Rattus norvegicus: one gene and its partner. The protein of the gene in region 1 purifies or fractionates together with the protein of each later gene. This does not show direct contact. Links are inferred from orthologs where the notes say so. Each region holds a gene or a part of one and is shown in the gene's direction. Other genes may lie near its edges. The genes, in order: Fndc3a and Tent5c.

Evidence for each region.
Region 2: the proteins of Fndc3a (region 1) and Tent5c purify together in Homo sapiens (affinity purification with western blotting; 3 studies listed by BioGRID, with this or other methods). This does not show direct contact. The link is inferred for Rattus norvegicus from reciprocal best matches to the Homo sapiens genes FNDC3A and TENT5C.

The regions. Positions count from the first base shown.
Region 1 is NC_086033.1:54,114,858-54,125,740, reverse strand, and holds part of Fndc3a (fibronectin type-III domain-containing protein 3A), read left to right. Parts: intron 1-681; coding exon 682-750; intron 751-1,676; coding exon 1,677-1,795; intron 1,796-4,001; coding exon 4,002-4,107; intron 4,108-4,192; coding exon 4,193-4,368; intron 4,369-5,543; coding exon 5,544-5,657; intron 5,658-6,280; coding exon 6,281-6,430; intron 6,431-6,530; coding exon 6,531-6,814; intron 6,815-6,906; coding exon 6,907-7,119; intron 7,120-10,883. UniProt on the Homo sapiens protein: Mediates spermatid-Sertoli adhesion during spermatogenesis.
Region 2 is NC_086020.1:190,556,475-190,567,457, reverse strand, and holds the start of Tent5c (terminal nucleotidyltransferase 5C), read left to right. Parts: upstream 1-3,555; 5' UTR 3,556-3,788; intron 3,789-3,970; exon of another isoform or gene 3,971-6,111; intron 6,112-9,309; exon of another isoform or gene 9,310-9,386; coding exon of another isoform or gene 9,387-9,402; intron 9,403-10,983. UniProt on the Homo sapiens protein: Catalyzes the transfer of one adenosine molecule from an ATP to an mRNA poly(A) tail bearing a 3'-OH terminal group and enhances mRNA stability and gene expression.

The DNA.
Region 1 (10,883 bases):
CCAAGCTCAGTAATTTAATCCACCGAGCCAGCATGATGATTTCCTGTTGGCTACTAGTACCAGTGTTTGAATAACATTGTGATGGTGGTGCTTGGGTAAAGTTATTTATTAACTTAGGGCAGTCTGATAAGAAATGTGTCCTCCAGCAAGGATATATCTGTGGAAAACTGTATACTCACAGATACTAACCAGGTTTGACACTAAAAGAACTGGGGGCCCCTGTAAGAGGATAAACAGGGTCAGCTTCATGTGAAAGAGAGAGATTGCTGAACATGGAGCCAGCAGCATCTGAGTCATCTTAACGCTCAAGTCAAACAACAAGAGCAAAGCTTCAACCTTTGCAGAGCATCTGCTTATATCTGAGTTCAGTGGGTGTGCAAACTCAATCCTGCCTTGGAGACGTTTGGAAAAGTCAGCACATTACAAGTACAGATTTCAAATTCCCTTTGAAGCTAAAGTGAATGGAATGTTGTGCAGCCACTGAAATTATTGTAGAGTCAGTTTTATATGGGTAGATTTAGTGGGACAGACTGGTATATTGATTGAAAATTGGTGACAGTAGTATAAACAAAGGATGTGTGAATAGTAATCGTTCAGTGGTTCTTTTTGCCTTGTAACAATCTGCCTTTGTATTCTGTCTTTTGGGGTTTCCATAATACATACCACTTTTGTTTGTGATAGATCCACCAAGAGACAATGGAGGGGCACCCATCAACAAGTATGTGGTGGAGATGGCAGAAGGCTCTAATGGTAAGGAAGCATAGCTGGTAAAGCTGACAGATGTGCTCTGCTGGATGAACCTCTGGTCTTCTGGCTTTACATTGTTTGCTGCCATAAACACATTTGTGCTGTGCTGAGAATTGTCCTTGATTTGGTGATATTAGCGGGTGCGAGTATTTGTGGCAGCTACAATTGTGCCCATCGTGTTATGCTTCAGATCTGGAAATAGAGTGGACCAAATGTCAGCATCTATTACTAAACTCATATTTTCTTTTTTTTCTTATTTTCATGTTTATATTATACAAGCCTAGCATGTCCAGACTGATTTTTTTTAGATACTATATATTTAATGTATTAAGGAGTAGTTTATTAAGTTAGGTTTATACCCACATGTACTAGAGGAAAGTTGGTCTCTAAAGGTTAACTCTAATTAAGGTTTTTATGAACTTTGTGCTTGAGTCACCTGTCCATCAGTTTTTATTCCTATAAGGTATGTTTACTTCAAAGAAAGGTCTTGTAATTATGATTAAATGTGTTACTATACTGACTATATTCTTTGTTACAATATTATTACTGGACTAGTAAACACATTTAATATGCTTAATTAAAAGCAGATTACCAGGGTTGGGGATTTAGCTCAGTGGTAGAACACTTACCTAACAAGCACAAGGCCCTGGGTTCAGTCCTCAGCTCCGGGAATTAAAAAAAAAAGCAAATTACCAATCTAAGTCAAACACTGTACAGAGATATTTCAGTTCAACAAAACCATGCAGATTTGTATCGGAGACCACATGCATAAAGAAAATCTATTTCAGGAAACCCAAGTCAGGCTTGAATTGTTTCTGACAACTTACATAGACACTTAGTAAATGAAGCCTGAGATGCCAGCCCCCTCCATGATACCACAGTGTTACCATTATCTGGTAGCTGATTGCACACAATTCTGCACCTTTCAGGAAGCAAGTGGGATATGATCTACAGTGGCGCCACCAGGGAACATCTTTGTGACCGGCTGACTCCAGGCTGCTACTACCGCCTGCGGGTTTACTGCATTAGTGATGGAGGGCAGAGTGCGGTAATGCTTATGTGTACACGTGTTTGTTTTTTAATTTGGACCACATGGGGCAGGGCCAACATTTCCTGACTTCATTGGTGAAGTCTGTGGACAAATAGGCAAGAGTAATGTTTGTAACACGGTTTTTGTAACCTGGGTGCTATGTTAGAGTTACCAGAATATTCGAACAGGATATTTTACTCGCAGTACATATTTAGGTAAATCTTAGGAAGATATTTGATATCTATATTCAGCAGAAACTGAAATAGTTAGATACTGATTTGCTGCTTTGCAAATTGTGTCTCTGGAGAAACCATAAACTGTTCGAACACAGATACAACATTTTAGTATTTCAGAAAATCTAGCCATTATTTTATGATTCTTAAGAGAAGCAGTAACTGGGGTTTAATCCCAGCACTTGAGAGGTAGAGGATGATGGATCTCTGAGTTCAAGGACCAGCCTGGTACACAGAGCAACAGAGCAAGTTCCAGGACAGCCAGGGCTACAAAACCCTGCCTCAAAAAAAAAAAAAAAAAAAAAGAAAGAAAGAAAGAAAGAAAAAAAAAGGACTCAGTAACTCAGTGACCAATAACTTTATCAGTTGTTTTGATCGTATCCCAATTCTGAGGACAGTTTTAGAGCCTGGTTCAATACTGAGTACATTTGGCATCTTTGGTTGCACTTACTCAATCCCAACATTTTCATTGCTTAGTAATTCAGAGAGGGTGTCTTCATCAGGCTTCCTGACGGCCTATTTGGGCTGGTCACAGTCCTTGAGGGTTTCTACTTTGAATCTGCTTGAGGACAAACAAGAGCATGAGAACACTGGGCAGAGACTGCCCTTTTCCTCATTTTAGGTCATTTCAAACTACAGAAATGTTTTGTGATTTCCACTCCCTGCCAAGATGCTTGCTATAGTCCCTGTCTCTACTTTCTTGTGAGTTTCAGAGAGCATCCTAAAGCATGCCAGGAGCCCTGGCCCAGGCACATACCACAAGCAACCTCAGTAGCCAAGCTCAGTGCAGCAGGGTGAGGCAGATCCCCCTCCCCACAGTTTTGGACAGCATGTGGCGCACCTCTGCTTGCTTATACCTCCTGTTCTTCACTCCTGAGCTGGAATCACGTTCTAGGCACCTGATGTATTTTTAAAGAATTTAACCAAGAATCAGTTATTGGAACATTCATAATAATGTTTTTCAAATGGAAGTTTGCATAATAAAAGCACTGTTGTTAAAAATGACTTTTAAACTTCTTGTTAGGCATGCAAGTATTGTGAAACTAAAGTGTGTGTGCTGCCCAGCAGGACTGTGGTACAGTGTTCCCTTCTATTAATCGAGAAAGGTCCCTGGTGGTAAAGGCATAATTTGATGCTAGAACAGTTTTCTGTGGAAGAGATCTTCCTGAATCCCTAGAACCATCCGGAGAAAAGGAGAATCTCCCCGCATTTAAGAACAACAAACATAACATCTAAAATTCTTTTCAAGTATATCATTGAAGAACGCCTCTACATTACATAGAATGTCTGTCTGAAAAAATGTTGAACAAGTGGTTTGTGTTTAAAAAGAATTAAATATTAAATGTGAACTTTTATATACAACTAGGGCAGGTGATCTTCAAAATAAAATCAAGGCTGGGGCTGCTAGCATTTCATGATAAGATACTTGCTTAGCATTTGTAAGACCCTGGGTTCAAACTCTTGTCACATAAGAAAATAAAGACTTTAAAAATAGGGACCAAAGCAATACTAAATAAAGGTGTCATGTACTAGAGAAACTAACTGGCTGTAGAACTGATATTAGAGGAATAAAAAAATAAATAAGTTAACATTAGGGTTAAAAGACAGTTTAAAAAAAAATAAAAGCCCTATGAGTCTTAACCTTCAAAACCAAAAAGGTAGAAAGCATCTATAGTGTTGGAACAACCTAAGAGGACTGTGGGTCCCTGTGGACAGGATTGGTTTAGCTGCCTATTGTCTTGGATTCGTTGTTTTGTTTTGTTAAAGGACTTATTCCTTTTCCCGTTTGTTTTTTTTAATAGTAGTTATAGCACATGTCTTTTTGTCTATAAAAATATGTTGCAATGATTTAATAAGGCTTGATTCTATTCAGCACTTTATTTCTGTGAATAGTAAAGTATGATTTCACACTGATACAATTTTATATTGTGTTAAAATCCTTTATCAAAGCAATCCAGTTGTTTAGAGCCTTTTGTTTGATTTTTCTGCAGGTCTCTGAATCTTTACTTGTGCAGACTCCAGCTGTGCCTCCTGGCCCATGCCTCCCTCCCAGGTTGCAGGGTAGACCCAAAGCAAAAGAAATACAGTTACGATGGGGTAATTTCCATTTTGCTACTGAATTATAATTAAATTAGAACCAAAATATTCCTCCTGTTAAACCCCTAAATCTATCCCTGCTTAGGACCTCCTCAGGTTGACGGCGGATCACCCATTTCCTGTTATGCAGTAGAAATGACTCCTGCAGATAAAGATGAGCCCAGAGATGTTTACCAAGGCTCTGAAGTGGAGTGTACAGTGAGCAGCCTTCTTCCTGGAAAGACGTACAGCTTCAGACTTCGTGCAGCAAACAGAATAGGGGTGAGGGAACTGCCATCTTATCATCGCGCCTGTCACTGTTTATAAGCTTCTAGTGATAAAGAAGGAACAGTGCCCTATCACTTGCCTTTCTGTCTTTGTACTTTCAGATCTTAGAGTTTATGGCACTTGGAAGGAGTTGTGGCTTCCTTTCAGATGTTTAAAAGCCTGTTTGCCTGCTCACTAAACTGGTTTTATGGAGCATTTACTCCCCACTGAAAACCAGATGGAATTCATGCTTTGCTTCATGAGCACATGCTGATATTTAAGCATTTATGGTTTATATGAGTAATTTAAAAGTGTGCGTGTATATGTTTGTGTATACAGAGGTGGGGGAGATCCATAAAATACATAAAAAGGTGATAGCCCCTCGTTGCAGCTAGTGAGGCTAGGGCTGGAAGAGCGCGGCGTCCACACAGCTGCCGATGCCCTCACTCTCTGCTAGGGCAGATAGGAGCCCTGAGATAAAGCAGTTGCTTGGGTGGGTGGCACATTTTTAAAAACTATTCCAAAATTAATTGTTTTCAAACTTTAAACTCACAGGTCTCTTTACCAATGTTTTAAGACTTGTGCTTAAACTGTGCTTTGTTTTATAATCTGTCTCCAGTTGAACTCCATTTTAATCTGAGTACACTTAAATATTGCGAATGGAATTGTATGGTCTGCAGGCAGTCATAGTCCGTATGCCTTCAGCAACCGCATAGGCTGCAGTTAACTGGTAGCATAGTCGATGTGATGTCTTCCTTTTTATTTACTGGTTTTTACTAGTTTGTCAAGATAACTTTGCACATTTACTTCCTTTATTTCCACTAAACACCCATCTTTGACTTTTTAAGCTAAGATTGGTGCCTGCCATCTCCCATGTTTGTATTTGGTGCCGTCATCCCCCTTCAGATCATTCCTTTATCGCACCTCCCTAATTTACTAGTGCCCATCTCCTTTTACAAAAAGCAGTTCATAAAGAGAATAAGGGAGTGGGAGAGACAAAGTATATTAAATGAAACTTAAAACTCTGCTTCTTTTTCTATAATTGTTAAATCTTTTACTCTTAATGAATGCCTTTAGAATTATGACCAAATTAATTTTGAAGAACTTAATTGCTGGTAAGTCTTTAGATATAGGATTCTGTGCAGTGAACGTTTAAGGATGAAAAAGAAAACTGTGTTCTGTTTTTCTAGTTTGGACCATTTTCAGAAAAATACGATATCACTACAGCCCCTGGGCCACCCGACCAGTGCAGACCCCCTCAAGTGACATGCAGATCTGCAACTTGTGCACAAGTGAATTGGGAGGTACTGTAATTTCTACTTACTTACATAATTTTCCTAAGTAGTGCTTATAAAAAAATAAAAGTAATCTTCGCTTTTGATCCTTTATTTATGTGAAAACTGAGTCCTAGATAAATTCACATGGTAGAAATGAGTTAATTGTTGGAGTAAGATAGATTTGCCTTTTAAGTATTCAGGCTCTGGTTTTTGTTACTTAGTGTGTTTAATCAAAGGTTTTGTTTCTTTACTGAGATTTTAGCAACTGGCGAACTTTGAACAATCAATTGTAAGATTTGATGTATCTTTCTCTCAAATTCATTATCAGTATATTGTGTATTGTAATTGGTCACTGATATCCAATTTCCTTTGAAACTTGTGAAAATATCTGTGTAAGTTAACATTCTGTCGTCAAATTATTTTGAAGTGACTTTATTAAGATACTCTGACTCTGAGGCATATTTTTCTTGTGCTATAAGGCAGAAGACTGTTCAGGTAGTTTTAATGAATGAAAATTGTACACTATTGATTGTGTTGAAATGTTTTAAATCAGACAGTCTCATTTTTAATATGTTAGAGGAAGGAATGATTGTTCCCCAGAGCTGTTGAATTACTTTCAAGACTAAGAAAACTGTATCCTTTTCATAAAGATTCCTTTGAGTAACGGAACTGACATCACTGAGTACCGGCTGGAATGGGGAGGAGTTGAAGGAAGTATGCAGATATGTTACTGTGGACCTGGCCTCAGTTGTGAATTAAAAGGACTTTCACCAGCTACTACCTATTACTGCAGAGTCCAAGTAGGTGACCGGTACCTGGGCACACACACTACTCAGAATCTTCTGTTTAGAGGTCACGGCCACAAGTGTGTCTTTGTTAACTTGCTTTATTCATCTGTAGGCTTTGAGTGTTGTAGGTGCGGGTCCCTTCAGTGAAGTTGTAGCCTGTGTGACGCCACCGTCGGTTCCTGCCATTGTGACTTGTCTTCAGGAAATACGTGATGATGATATAGAATACCCCCATTACTCACCCTCCACCTGCCTTGCAATTAGCTGGGAAGAGCCTTACGACCATGGCTCAGAAATCCTTGCCTATAGCATAGACCTTGGAGACAAGCAGCCCTTGACAGTGGGGAAGGTGACAAGCTATGTCATAAACAGTTTGCAACCAGATACAACATACAGGTACACCTCAAAATCTGTCTGTTTGCCTAAACCAGGAAGCTGTGTAAGTACAATAGCCATAAAGTAAGATTTTTTCTGTATGTGTCGTTTAGAATACGAATTCAAGCCTTGAATAGCCTTGGAGCTGGGCCTTTCAGCCATACTATTAAATTAAAAACTAAGCCCCTTCCTCCTGATCCACCTCGGCTGGAATGTGTTGCCTTTAACCACCAGAACCTTAAGCTTAAATGGGGAGAAGGAACTCCAAAGACGTTAGCAACAGATGCTGTTCAGTACCACCTTCAGATGGAAGATAAGAACGGAAGGTAGGCTTTCTACTTCCTTTTTCATGTGTAGAAGTTGGGGGTTAAGGTATAAAATGTTTATAGTAAATAGTTTGCCAGGCCAGACTGAAGGCTCTCATAAGGGGCCCACTAGGTGGCTCAGTGGGTAGAGACTCCTGCTGCCCTGATTCCCAAGCTGAGTACCTGCGTGACGAAAGGAGAACCAACTCCATCCATTACATGTGTATCACAGGCCACACACACACACACACACACACACACACACACACACACACACACACACACACAAATTAATTAAAATGTAATAAAGTTATTTATCAAAGCTATCTTAAATAATTTAAGTACGTTTTTCAAACTCTCAGAAGGCTCCCTGTGGCTTTCTTGTTTTAATTCCAGTGATGCTCAGGAACTTACGTGAGCTCTTACCTTAGCTATGAAGTAACTCTCTGCAGTTGATTTCCAGCTGCACAATTTATACAAACTGTGATCTGTTCAAGGCTTCTGAGTGAGATTTTAGACAGCACGGCTATGACTTACACTCCTGATGCAAGGACACTTCAGCCCCTCCCTCACCAGCAAGGCCTAGTTGGACTGTGATTTTTGTCCAGTGTCGTTGGCACACTGCCTGTCCCACTTTCATGTTCTTCCACACGTCTGTTGGGCTTCTACATAACACGCACTGACACTGCCCTAGCAGATCCTGTACTTCAGTTAGAGTATATTATTCAGATTATTTTTAACATTGTTTAAATACCAATTTAGAACTGTTTATTTACTCTGCATATACCACATAAACATTGCCTTGTGCATTATATAGCTAGTAATCTTGTAATATTTTAAGATTATAAATAATACTTCTGTACTTTTTACACAATTAGAAGATTGCCCAACTTAAGCATGTAAAATACTAAACAGTTTCTCCAAGGTTTACATTGGCTTTAATAACTTTTCCGAACACTTTAATGGCCATAGTGTGTGTTTCTTAATGTCTGTGCTTTTTTTTTTTACAAATATATATATAATTTTTTATTATTGAATATTTTCTTTATTTACATTTCTAAGTTGTGCTCTTTTCTGGTTTCCCCTCCGGAAACCCACTATCTCATCCTCTCCTCCCCCTGCTTCTATGAGGATGTTCCTACACACACACACCCACTCCCTCACATCTCCCGCCCTGGCATTCCCCTGCACTGGGGCATTGAGCCTTCATAGGACCAAGGGTCTCTCCTTGCTGTGATGCCCTACAAAGCCATCCTCTGCTACATATGCAGCTGGAGCCATGAGTGACTGACTCCACGTGTACTCTTTGATTGGTTGTTTAATCCCTGGCAGCTCTGGGGTGTCTGGTTGGTTGATACTGTTGTTTTTCCTATGGGGTTGCAAACCCCTTCAGGTCCTTAAGTTCTTTCTCTAACTCCTCCATTGGGGACCCCATGCTTAGACCAATGGTTGGCTGTGAGCATTCACCTCTATATTTGTCATGCTCTGGCAAAGCTTCTTAGGAGTCTTCTTGGCATCCTTAGTAGTGCCTCACTCAGGATTATATTTTCTAGTTCCATCCATTTGCCTATGAATTTCATGAAGTCATTGTTTTTAATAGCTGAGTAGTACTCCATTGTGTAAATATACCACATTTTCTGTATCCATTCCTCTGTTGAAGGGCATCTGGACTCTTTCCAGCTTCTGGCTATTATAAATAAGACTGCTATGAACATAGTGGAGCCTGTGTCCTTGTTATATGTTGGAGCATCCTTTAAGTATATGCCGAGGAGTGGTATAGCTGGGTCCTCAGGTAGTACTATGTCCAGTTTTCTAAGGACCCTCCAGACTGATTTCCAGAGTGGTTGTACCACCTTGATATCCTACCAGCAGTGGAAGAGTATTTCTCTTTCTCCACATTGTCACGAGCATCTGCTGTCACCTGAGTTTTTTGATCTTAGCCATTTTGACTGGTGTGAGGTAGAATCTCAGGGTTGTTTTGATTTGCATTTCCCTGATGACTAAGGGTGTTGAACATTTCCTTAAGTGCTTTGTGGCCGTTTGAAATTCCTCAGTTGAGAATTCTTTGTTTGGTTCTGTATCCCATTTTTAATAGGGTTATTTGATTCTCTGCAGTCTAACTTCTTGAGTTCTTTGTATATGTTGAATATTAACCCTCCATCAGATGTAGGTTTGGTAAAGATCTTTTCCCAATCTGTTGGTTGCCGTTTTGTCCTAATGACAGTGTTCTTTGCCTTACAGAAGCTTTGCAGTTTTATGAAGTCCCATTTGTGGATTCTTGATCTTACAGCATAAGCCATTGGTGTTCTGTTCAGGAAATTTACCCCTATGCCCATGTGTTTGAGAATCTTCTCCACTTTCTCTTCTATTAGTTTGAATGTATCTGGTTTTATGTGGAGGTTCTTGATCCACTTGGACTTGAGCTTTGTACAGGGTGATAAGAATGGATCGATTTGCATTCTTCTACATGCTGACCTCCAGTTGAACCAGCACCACTTGTTGAAAATGCTATCTTCTTTCCATTGGATGGTTTTAGCTCCTTTGTCAAAGATCAAGTGACCAGAGGTGTGTGGGTTCATTTCTGGGTCTTCAGTTCTATTCCATTGATCTACCTGCCTGTCTGTGTACCAATATCAGACAGTTTGTTTTTTTGGTTTTTGTTTTTTTTTTTAAATCACTCTTGCTCTGTCATGGATGGTGATTCCCCTAGAAGTTCTTTTATTGTTGAGGATAATTTTCGCTATCGTGGGATTTTTGTTATTCCAAATGAATTTGCAAATTGCTATTTCTATCTCTATAAATAATTGAGTAAGAATTTTGATGGAGATTGCATTGAATCTGTAGATTGCTTTAGGCAAGATGATCATTTTTACTATATTATTCCTGCCAATCCATGAGCATGGGAGATCTTTCCATCTTCTTAGATCTTCTTCAATTTCTTTCTTCAGAGACTTGAAGTTCTTGTCATACAGACCTTTCACTTACTTGGTTAGAGTCACACCCTGAAGTATTTTAGGTTATTTGTGACTATTGTGAAGGGTGTCATTTCCCTAATTTCTTTTTCTCAGTCTGTTTATCCTTTGAGTAGAGGAAGGCTACTGATTTGTTTGAGTCAATTTTATACCCAGCCCCTTGCTGAAGTTGTTTATCAGGCTTAGTAGTTCTCTGGTGGAACTTTTGGGGTCACTTAACTATTCTATCATATCATCTGCAAAAATGATATTTTGACTTCTTTGTATCCCTTTGACCTCCTTTTGTTGTATGAGTGCTCTGGCTAGGACTTCAAGTACTATATTGATAAGTAGGGAGACAGTGGGAAATCATGTCTAGTCCCTGATTTTAGTGGGATTGCTTCAAATTTCCCTTCATTTAGTTTGATGTTGTCTTCTTGTTTGCTGTATATTGCTTTTACTATGTTTAGGTATGGGCCTTAAATATCTGATCTTTCCATGACTTTATCATGATAGGGTGTTGAATTTTGTCAAATGCTTTCTCAGCATCTAATGAGATGATCATGTGGTTTTTTTTTTCTTTGAGTTTGTCTATATAGTGGATTATGTTGATGGATTTCTGTATATTGAACAATCCCTACATCCCTGGGAAGAAGTCTACTTGATCATGATGGATAATCGTTTTGATGTGTTCTTGAATTTGGTTTATGAGAATTTTATTGAGTTGATATTCAGAAGGGAAATTGGTGTGAAGTTCTCTTTCTTTGTTGGGTCCTTGTGTGGTTTGGGTATAAGCATAATTGTCACTTCATAGAACAAATTGAGTAGTGTTGC
Region 2 (10,983 bases), on another chromosome or scaffold:
GACAGAAAGAAAGAAAGAAAGAGAGAAAGAAGGAAAGAAAGAAAGAAAGAAAGAAGGAAGGAAAGAAAGAAAGAAAGAAGGAAAGAAGGAAGGAAAGGTCTTTGAAGCATTTTGATTGGCTATGTGCCAGCAGAGGCTGGAATTTGGCAAGGAGGTACCAAGAGTCTTGCATGGATAGTTTAAATTATCTGGTTCCATGTCCAGTGAGCAGGACCTGGCAACCTCCTGAGCCTCCTGCCAACTTCAAGGTGCCACAGTTGGTGAGGTAGAAAGAACACAGTGTATTTAAAAAAAAAAAAAAACAGAAGAAACAAAAATTCTAAAAAGTTTAGAAAAGCTGTGGGGATTAAAAAAAGAAATCTGAGGAGAAACATACACATGCAGGACTATAACAAGTTTCGTCTCTGGACTGGCCCTCCCCATCTCCCCATCGTAGAATTACCTAATTTGTTCAGGACGTTGAACAAAATGTCACCTAAGCAAAGGGCAGATCAAACTTTAGGTTTAGAAGTTTCTTGTGATAAGAGCACAGAAGGGACTAACAGGGAAGCCAGCTGGGAGGGGACCTGGTAGAGACCTGAGAAGGGACAGAACACAGCATATGGCAAACATATATGTCTGAAACGTCATGATAGAAACCACTAGATTGTATGCTGACTTTTGTAGTAGATGTTTTTACATCTACTAATATCAATAGCTACCTCTGATGACCATATCCATGTCAAAGGCCAAGGTAATAATTTGTTTAAATGTTATTGAGATTGGAGCTTTGCAGAAGGTCAGTTACTTCCTCAAGGCTTAAAACCCAGTTCTTAGAAGAGAGCATAGGCAACCATCTTTGTGGCTTTGGGCTAGGCAGAGATTCCTTAAACACTAAACATTAGAGATATGCTTGGTAAGTTGGGCTGATTGGAAATTAAGAAACTCTTTTTACTGATAATAACAGTAAACTATAAACCAGCTACAGGTTGAGAGAAGGTATTTGGAAGAGATATAAGAAAGGAGTTATATCCAGACTATGTGAAGAACTGAATACAGTTCAAATGGGCAAAAGACACACATAGATACATCCCCCCCATAGACCATCATAATGGATCATAAACATTTGAGAAGTTGCTCAGTAGTACTGGTCACCAGAGAAATGAACGTCTAATTATAATGAAATACACATCCCGGTTTTTCATTTACAAAGAAAACACTTGGGCCACGGAGATGGCTCAGAGGGTAAAGCTGCTTATGACCAAGCCTGAGGATGACCTAAACTCAGTCCCCAGCTCACACACGGTGGAGAGCTGGAACTCCCAACAAGTTGTTCAATGACTTCCACACGCCCACTGCGGCACGCACACCCCCCTCCAACAACAGTAAAATGTAACTAGAAAAACTTTAAACAGCATGATCCCAAAGTGGTAAATATGTGGGGTCATCGGGAATCTTTACAGCACTGGTTGGAACATTAAACAGATTTCCCATTCTGCTTTACAAATATATCTATTTGTTGTTTGTTTTATGGTTTACACTTGTTGTCCCCCCCCTTTAGTTATCTTTAATAACTCAGATAACTGGAAATACATTTAAAGTTTAACGTGTGGATACCCTGTGAACTAGAATTTCCAGTCTCCAGCATGTGCCTGACACAACTCAATGCTGTACAGAAGACACAGGGAAGAATGTGGACAGCAATTTCACTATGGACCGTTCAAAACCTGAAGCAAGTGAAACGCATATCAAACAGTCAGCAGACTGCATACATTATTGGTTATTTAATGAGTATGTAGTAGTGAAGAATGAAACATGGTTACATACAACACGGAGAAATCTCATTGACGGAAACATGCTCATGCTTTCTTTCCCCATGTGCAGTTCAGATGCAGGTACAATTGATATATGAAGACTGAGATCTTAATATTGGTAACCCTGTAATATGTTGAGTGACAGGAGCCATGGCCAAGCTGGAAATGTTCTGAGTGACAGCTCTGTGGGTACACACACCTATCATTTTGCACACAATAATAGACACTATGAGATCAGACAGGGCTCACATTAACAACAACAAACCTGGCCCTATAGCCTGAATTTGTGTTCAAGAACATGTAAGTTCTTATACTGATGTCTTATACTGTTATAGTTTTGAGAATTTCCTTCCCCTACCAGAGAAAGCACGTTCGTGAGAACTCTTCATAGTCTAGCAGACACTGCAGGGCACTCCTGCTCCACAGAGGTGCTAAGAGGGCAGAGGAGAGCACCGATTCAGGAAACCATCTAGCCCCCAGTACCCAGCAGAGGGTCAAACGAAGCTCAACAAGTGTTTATTAACACAGCTTTCTAATTTATTTAGTAGCTGGCATGAACTGCATACCAAGCAGTGCATGATTAATAACTATTTCCCTAATATCGACCTCACATTTCCATACTACAGATGGGAAATAGAGGTTTTTGGAGAATAGGTTAAGCCAGTTAGTAAAGCTGGGCGTGTCCCAGCAGTTGGGAGGTGCACACAGGAGGGCCAGTTAAAAGTCAACCAAGGCAACTTGGAAGCCTGTCTTGGGTTCAGGAGGCATTGTATAAAAAAAAAAACCTCAAAAAAACAAAGCAAACTATCCTCTTGCAAGGCCTTTCCAGATAGTTAAGAGGTGAAGAAGATTTCCACTCATCAGCCTTAATTCTAAAGCAGAGCCATCAACCACGTGCAAGGAAATTAAGGGTCGTGTGTGTTTGGGGGCGGGGATGGGGGCCCCCCTCTGCGAGCAGTAACAAGCAGCACAGACCAGCGCTATTCTCAGGAGGGCTGAGCTGCTGTGCTTAAGGCTTTGGTGATGGCTTCCCAGGTCTGCCAACTGCACACAGGTGTCCCCGCGGCCAGAGAATCAGCTGCTTCCTTTCCCCCAGGACCACGACCTCACCTCCAGCCAATTTGCTCGAGGAATCAGAAAGATTTCCAGGGCCCATTTAAGAGTTTTCCGACTTCACAAACACCGAGCGAGGCAAGCGTGGGCTTCCACTCCGGGATCCCGGAAACCAGAGAGCACTATGGTGAAGAGCGCCTAAAACTTTGAAAGAAGAGCACCCAGCAGGGAGCAAGTTGGGTAGAGGGGAGAAGAGTCCAGGCGAGGGAAGGCTGAAGGTAGAGAGGAGCGGAGAGGACAGAGGGAAACTGTCCCCTCATGCTCAAAGTTAGTTCAGCGCCCACAACCCGTGTCTCTCTCTCTCTCTCTCTCTCTCTCTCTCTCTCTCTCTCTCTCTCTCTCTCTCTCTCTCTCTCTCTCTCTCTCTCTCTCTCCTCTCTCTCTCTCTCTCTCTCTCTCTCTCTCCTCTCTCTCTCTCTCTCTCTCTCTCTCTCTCTCTCTCTCTCTCTCTCTCTCTCTCTCTCTCTCTCTCTCTCTCTCTCTCTCTCTCTATTGCGCCTGCGCAATGCTGCCTCTTGGTCACCCCGCCCCTTTGCGCCGCGGGAGGTTTACTTGTCTCTCGGCAACCATTGACCCGGGAAGCCAATCAGAGGGCAGCGTTCGTCCAGCCCCCCCCCCCCCCCCCCGTCAGCGCGGGGCGCAAGGATCCCTCGGGGCCTCGGCCGTCGCGCCCCGCCCTGGCTCCCCCGGGAGGCCGGCCGCGGGGCGGGGGCAGGGGCGGGGAGGCGCGGGGGAGTGGTCAGGCCGGTTAAGATCGGAGGGGGCGGCGGCCGGACCGCTCACTCGCCGCAGCTGTCTGGGGGCCTAAGTCTCCGCACGGCTCCTGCTGGGGGCTGCCCACGCCAACCACCTGCTTCAGTCACCTCTTCTTCCAACGCCCAGGTAAGTCCACGCTCCCATCCTCCACAGGTGGGAGGATGCTGCTGCGGTCCTCCGGTGGGGAGCCACGCACTCTGGCTCCGGGTGGGTCCCCGCAGAGCCTAGTGGGGTGCCCCGAAGATGGAGGCTAGATGCCGACAGGTGTCAGGACCCGTCCGGCTCCCGCGTCCCTGACGCAGGCTTACCTCTGTGAAGGAGCGCAAACTTTTCGGAGACTGCGCTCGGGCTTTGGGAAACTTGGGCGAGTTCCTGCTGGCCCGGCGGCAGTTGTGTAGGTGGCTCTTTCTCTGCTTCTGCTAGTCGGTACTCTAGCTCTGAGCTGCGCCCCTGTGGCGCGCTCACGGAGCCCGGAACCCCGGCGATTTTGAACCCCGCGGTTTTGGCGGCGTAGATGAAGACGCTGTGGTCGGGGGCTAAAGCCTGGCCGGAGAGGGGAGGGCAGTTCCCTGGGCTCAGTGCCCAGGATGGCGGCTGAGATCCTTCTCTATTTGGAACTGTGGGTACCGCGCGTGGCCAAATGATCGAAGCTGCGCGTCTCTCGGAAACTTCTCGAGAATACGGCGGCTGTGAGACCTGGTTCCTCCCCTTTGGGGATCGAAAGTCGCTTACTGCGTAGGCTGAAAGCCATGCAGTCAGTCAGTTGACTCTGATAGCGGTGCTGTTGGTGGCTTAGAGGCGCGGCTCCCGGATCGTCCCGAGCGTCTGCGAGGAGGGTGATAGCCCTTTTCCATAGAAAGAGTTAAGGAACCTGCAGTGCCAGCTGGTAGCCTTTACACCTAGCACTGGCGGACGGGCAGGCAGGCAGGCTACCTCAAAGTCCTGATGAGGAAATGCCTGGTTTTTCAAGAACGCAAAACTTCCACCGGCGTTGATTGTCATACCTAGATGCTCTGGGTCCCTTTCTCCCCTCTTCCCTTTAATGTGGAGAAACCCTTCAGAAAGTCCTGATCAATTCCTAAGTCTTAAGCCCCTCCCCTCTCAATTCGAGGATTAAAGTGCTTACAACGAAAGACTTAGTAGACTTACTGATTTATTAAGAATAGCTATATATATAATCCTTTGAATTATGACGAGTTTGGTATTCTGAAAGTAAAGTTAAAATGTTCAGATCTTCCTAAATTAGACCCCCAGCTGCCCCAGCTACCCTGGGAAGGAGGGTGACGGTGGCCATTGCTGGCTACAACAACTTCCACTGTAATTTGCTTGGCAAGGCAGCGAGGGAGCCAGAAAGCTAGCCAGGCAGCCAAGAGGGTGGTAGGAGAGCTTACCAAGAATTCTCCCGAGCGAGCGAGCTGGAAGTCACTAGAGGTGTGATTGTTTTTCCACATTTTACCCCGCAGTTGAAGGGTGTGGGGTGAAGAGTAAAGAAGGGCCACTTTTCTCTTCCTGCTGCAGCTGGACCAGCAGTGGCCCTGTCCTCTGCAGTCCTTGTTTGTGAGGATGGAGCGCTTAGTATCCCAATCAGAAACCTTCTCTCTGAAGAGATAGTTTGGTTTAGGAGTTCACACGATAGGAACTTTTAGAAGGATGAGTTCGATGTGTGGAATACTTGTCCCAGTATCTGCACAGGATGTCGATGACTGTCATTAAAATTGTGGGGGTTGTTCAGCGATCTCTAGACAGTTACCAAAAGAAAGGTCCCGAAGTTTTATGAGTGACTTTAGTGTGTGCACCTAGAACAAACAGTCACACTCTTTAGTCTGAGTTTCTCCCATAATACCTACCTTGTATCTAGAGATTAGGTTTGTGAACTCAGAAGGGAGGACTTGGCTCTTGGCCCTTGGCCCTGTTGGTCTGAGTGTGAGTGGAGTGCCAAGAGCTCACTCTTCAGCTTTTCCAGTTCTGCTGCACGCATAGCTCCCAAGCTTTCTGCAGAACTTTCAGCCTGGACGTCTCCCCCAGCCCCAGTGGGCTCCCAGTCAGGCACACGCTTAGCCTGCATGCTAAGTCCAAGGCCAGGCAGATTACACTTGCCTTGCACTGCCCATTGGAAAGTCCGGGAACCTCTCAACAATGAAGGCAATTTAAAAGTGGGCTGTTGTGCCCTGTTGTACTATTAGCTAGGCTCAGCTGTGACAAAATGGGAACGCCGCATTGAATGTTTCCTTCCTTCCTTTCCTCCCTCTCTGCCTCCTGCCCAGCTCCATCCACTAAGTAGTACCCTGCCTTCTCTCTTCTATGCTGTACTGTCTCAGAGTCAGCCATGGAAGAAGGGCAGCCTATGTTACTAAGAAAAACCATAGAAGCAGAGATGTGTTGAATTAAGATGATGTTTAGGGGTTTATCTTCCCTGTCCTCCTGAAAGCGAGCTCTCCCTCTCCCTCCCTCCCCCTCCCCCCTCTCAGTTAATAGGTGGTGAGGCAGAATGAGGTGTTTCTTGGACTAAGACTGGTCTGTTCCTTTTTCTCATCAATGAGGTAACGGGCAATATGGGGAGATGCCCTCTACCATCCCGCTGTTTTGACTGTAGCTGTTGAAATTGTATTATGACACCAGCCCCTCCATATTTAAAGGTGTGCTCGATGAGTTTAAAGCTACTTGAGGCAAGAGTAAAGCTGACCTCCTAATTTCTTGAACCCAAGGTTTCTCCCTCTTTGAAACCTTTTGATTGGATGCATTCATCGAAAGGAAGCTTAGAGTTCAAAAGGTTTATAGAAAACATCTTCACATAACTCTGTAAGGGAATCTTCTGGACTTTTTCACATTAATATTCTGTACAGCTGGCCCCTGGTAGCTTGTTCTTGAAGTGTTTGCAGAGCTTTTTGAAACAACAGGGACGAAGCTCTTAACAAGAAGAAGTAATTGCTGACACGAAGCAGCAGTTGTCCAGTGGTTGCAGAACATTTCCCACTGTGGGTCCTTAAATTGGGTGGTCCTTTTTTCTTGGATGATGGTGGTTGAGTCAGAAAGTGCTTCCTAGGTGGTGTTTGGTGCCAGGTGCCAGAGAGGCCAAAGGAATGGTATTCGAAAGGCCTGTGGAAGAACTTTAGAGGTGAGAGAGCTGGCCTGGCTTTATGATATACTTGAAGAACTTGTTTTTCTCTCAGTTGTCCTTGCACATGGACCCCAGAAAAGTGGGGTTTGTGGTCACTTCAGAGTCCTCACCCCTGCCTAAAAAGTGCATGCATGGCACATCTATCATGTGAATACACATTCTGCTGGGGGCTGCCTGCTGTTCCTTGCAGAGAAGGAAGCATGGTTGAAGTAGCTATCCTGCTGGACCAGGGGACCAGATGGGGCTTTTTGTGTTAGTAGCGCCAGATTTAAAAGGCTGGATGGTTTCCTGATCATCTTTTCAGTGAAGCCTCTGCAGCATAGGCTTGGAGCTAAGGAACAAGGTGCCTGCAAATTGATCGACAGCTGAAACTCCTAAAGCGGCCAGCTTCTAGCCCTACCGGAGCACCTCTACCCACCCCAGCCCCTGCTCTCCCAGCCCCTGCTCTCCCAGCCCCTGCTCTCCCAGCCCCTGCTCTCCCAGCCCCTGCCCTCTCAGCCCCTGCTCTCCCAGCCTCTGCCCTCCCAGCCTCTGCCCTCCCAGCCCCTGCCCTCCCAGCCCCTGCTCTCCCAGCCCCTGCCCTCCCAGCCCCTGCTCTCACAGCCTCTGATCTCCCAGCCCCTGCTCGCTCACTCAGCCTTTCTCTCTCCCGTGTTCACTCAGCTGCTAGCTCTGCTGACTCTTCTGTTTTGACTTTTTTGTTTCTCGACGTCCTCGCTGACCTGGTTTAGAGGGGACTGTGGACAGGAGCTAGATGAGAGCATCAGCAAGCCTCCCCATCTCTGGCCAATGCTCAGTCCTTTGTGCCTGGAGCACTAGAGTAAGCCCCCAGGAACTGCCCATCTCTGAGGACTCTCTGCCTTCTTCTAAGATTGTGATTTCCTGATGCTTTCCTTGATGCCCCATGGCCAGGTCTTCCTTAACTGTCCTTCTTTGCCGTGCAAAATACAGACTTAGATATTTGGAGAAAAAAACTGAACATAGTCCCTTCCCCTCTGACCTCTGTGCAGGCTCTGACTGACCTCTCATCTGAGAGGACTACCTTACCCCGCATCTGTCTGCTCCAGTATGTTATATGGGCTTTTTGTTTTGCACATTTTCTTGTTTTTATTTTAATTTAAAAATTTTAATATTGAACTGAAGGGGTTTGTTGTTGTCATTGTTTCGCCATCTCCCATTGTCTCCCCATCTGGCCCCTATCACGAAAACTGAAGAAAAATTCCCAGGGATCATGAGCCATCCCCTCCTCCCACCCAGTATTCCTTAGCTTCTACCCTTGGCCTTACAGGATGAGGCCAGGTACCTTCTATGTGACCTGGCTGTGTGTCTCTGACCCTCCGTGTGCTATGGTGACCCCTGCCCCTCTTTGTCATAGTTAGAGATCCGCGTCAGGATTCCACAGCTGCCTGAGGCTCTGGTGCTAGCTGTGTGTGGACTATGGGGATGTAGAGAAAAGAGGACGGTTAAGACACACGGATGTTTGCTCTGGGTTGTTCATCTAGAAGCCGCCACTGCTGTTGCTGCTGCTGTGTCCCATTCCAGACTGTTGTAGACTTTGTGCTTGCTTCCTTGCCTCTTGTAGGCGGACCCTTCTCTGGGGGACACCTGGGCACTGATCCTGGCAGACCCCTTGGCTACTTCATTTCTTTACTGTCATCTATGTAGCAGACAGAATCACTGCTCTCTCAGAGACATGAGACCATTTAAACAATAAATCAACTTGTCTGTTAAACTATGTTAGTAATCAGTGCAAAAAGATGTAAAACAGATTACATCCATTAGCTCAAGCCTTGGGGGTTATGCTGTCTTTTGTATATACTATGCACTTCTGTTTGGACCTTCTACCTTTCTAAGCTTGTGGCTACTGTACTAGGTGGTTCGAGTCTGGCCAAGACGCGCATGTGTTTTACTCTCAAATCCTGGTTCTCTCTGTGTGGGAAGCAATAGTAAGCTATCCAGAGGTCCAGGAGAGAATATATAGGCTGTATGCTCTGTGTGGCCAGGGATCTCTCTCTCCTGCCCTCGGGTCACAGAGTCCCAGGAGAGTGCTTAAAACACAGTAGGGTTGGGTGTCTGAGCAAAGGAGAAGGCGGCACTGACTTTCTGGTGAGCCTTCATCCTGCGAGGCAGACTTGACCCCTTAAAAATCAAAACCAAGGCTGGGGATTTAGCTCAGTGGTAGAGCGCTTACCTAGGAAGTGCAAGGCCCTGGGTTCGGTCCCCAGCTCCAAAAAAAGAACCAAAAAAAAAAAAAAAAAAATCAAAACCAAAGCAAGCAAACAAACGAAAACCCAAAAGACAGAAAACAAAAAACAAACAAAACAAAACAAAAACATTAACGACCCCAGGATGTTGGCGTCCTGTTCCTTGCTCCTGATTTAGCAGGCTTTTTTCCTTAGAAAATGGCTGGAAGTCAAGGAAATGAAATGTGAGATTGTCAGGGGACCGGGGCTGAGTTTATTACCAGTTAGACGTTTGCCAATCGTTTGTCATCAGTGAGAACTTACCAACAATTAAAAATTCAAACAGAAACGCAAGAGGAGTGAGCCATCAAGGCGAAGATGTCCGGGGATCTCTAGTGACAGTCTGGTGAGCTGGAGTGACTCATGAGGCTCTGTGCTGGTAGGACACCACCTCTTAGAAAGTCAGTGCCCGTGCAAATATTGTGCTGTGGATTTATTTCTCCATGTAATGCACCCCTCCATGATGTATTCAAGTTTAGCATGTTTCTCTCTGCCTGTTCCTATGCTTAGAGGTCTGCCACCTGCTACCTTAATGCCCCTACCCTGAGTGGATGACATGTAGTTCCCAACAGCCCTGAAACGGAGGCCAGCTTGCTCTTAGACATTTGTGAATGGGGTGTGTATACATGTCTTACCCTGATAAGCTCTGCATCTGAGAGCTAAGTGTTGCTGGTCCCTTTCCTGATAAGACCCAGGGATGCTACTAGTGATGAGGCAGGACTTGGAGACACTTGTAAAGGCTGAAGGTTTTTCAAGGCTCTCAGCTGGAGAACTGGATGGTGATACAGCCGTTGAAATAAACCTGAGGAATGTGGCCCAGTCCTCCTCTACACAGTCTCCTAGTTTGTTTTCAGTCCAGTCCACCTCTAAAACAAAAAGGACTGGCCCCTGTTCGGGGAGCCCTTTGTGTGAGTTCATACCAGTAATGTCTGACTTAGAAATGCATGCTGTGGCAACCATTACATTTCTAGTTCAATTTGTGCAGTCAAAGCTTCCTGTTGACACCTTGGGGGGAAAGCGCTCAGGGGCTTTCTGCCATGCTGCTAACCCATAGTGTCTGCATTCTGACAGCATTAATACTTATATCAGCAGTGACTTCGGGGTGTTCTCTTGACTATTTACACTTCCAGCCCTGCCTATTGGAATACCCGCCCCAGTGTTTTGATTCTGTTCTGTGCCTTTGAAGTCACAGCATGACTCCTTCCGGTATTATCTCCCCACCCCACACTTGCTTAGGCATCCTACTTTGAGAGGTAGGAAGCAGCTTTCTGTTTGGAGCTCTGTTCAGGTAGTGTCTGCATGGGGCACAGTTACTGATAACTACTGGGTATTGGTATCAGAAGGGGGTGTGTGTGAGAATCTTGGCACACAGCAAGGCAGCCCCCTCCCTTTCTATGCCCCAGGGCCTCTGCCGTGGGAAACTGACCAAACTTTTTGCCTTTGGTAAACATCCATGTGAAATGGCTCCTGATAATCCTGAGAAAATAGACCGAGGGCTCCGGCTGAATGTGAAGGAGGCCAAAAGTGAGAAAAGGACATCTGTGAAGGCTGGTGTCTCGCTGATGTCGTTGACATGTCTTCTCTGGGCACAGTTTTCTGGCCAGGGACAGCTCTCGTGAGCTGGGGTAGAATGGGTGGTGGGCATTTGGATGGGTCAATTGTAAATAGGGCTGTGTTACTTGTGGGTATGAGAAACACCTGACAGAAGGGTGTGTTTCGGCTTACAGCTTTACGGTGCCTGAGCATGGCAGGGAGGTACAGCAGTAGGAGAGCGAGTTCTAGTTAGAGAGCAGGGAGAGATGAACCCTGGTCCTCCGCTTGCTTTCTTCTCCTTATTCAATCCCAGACCCAACCTGTAGGGAGATGCTGTGAACATTCTCGGTAGGTCTTTTCCCACCTCAGTTGAACCTCCCTGGAAAGGCTCTCTCAGACACCTCAGACACAGCCAGAATGTGTTACA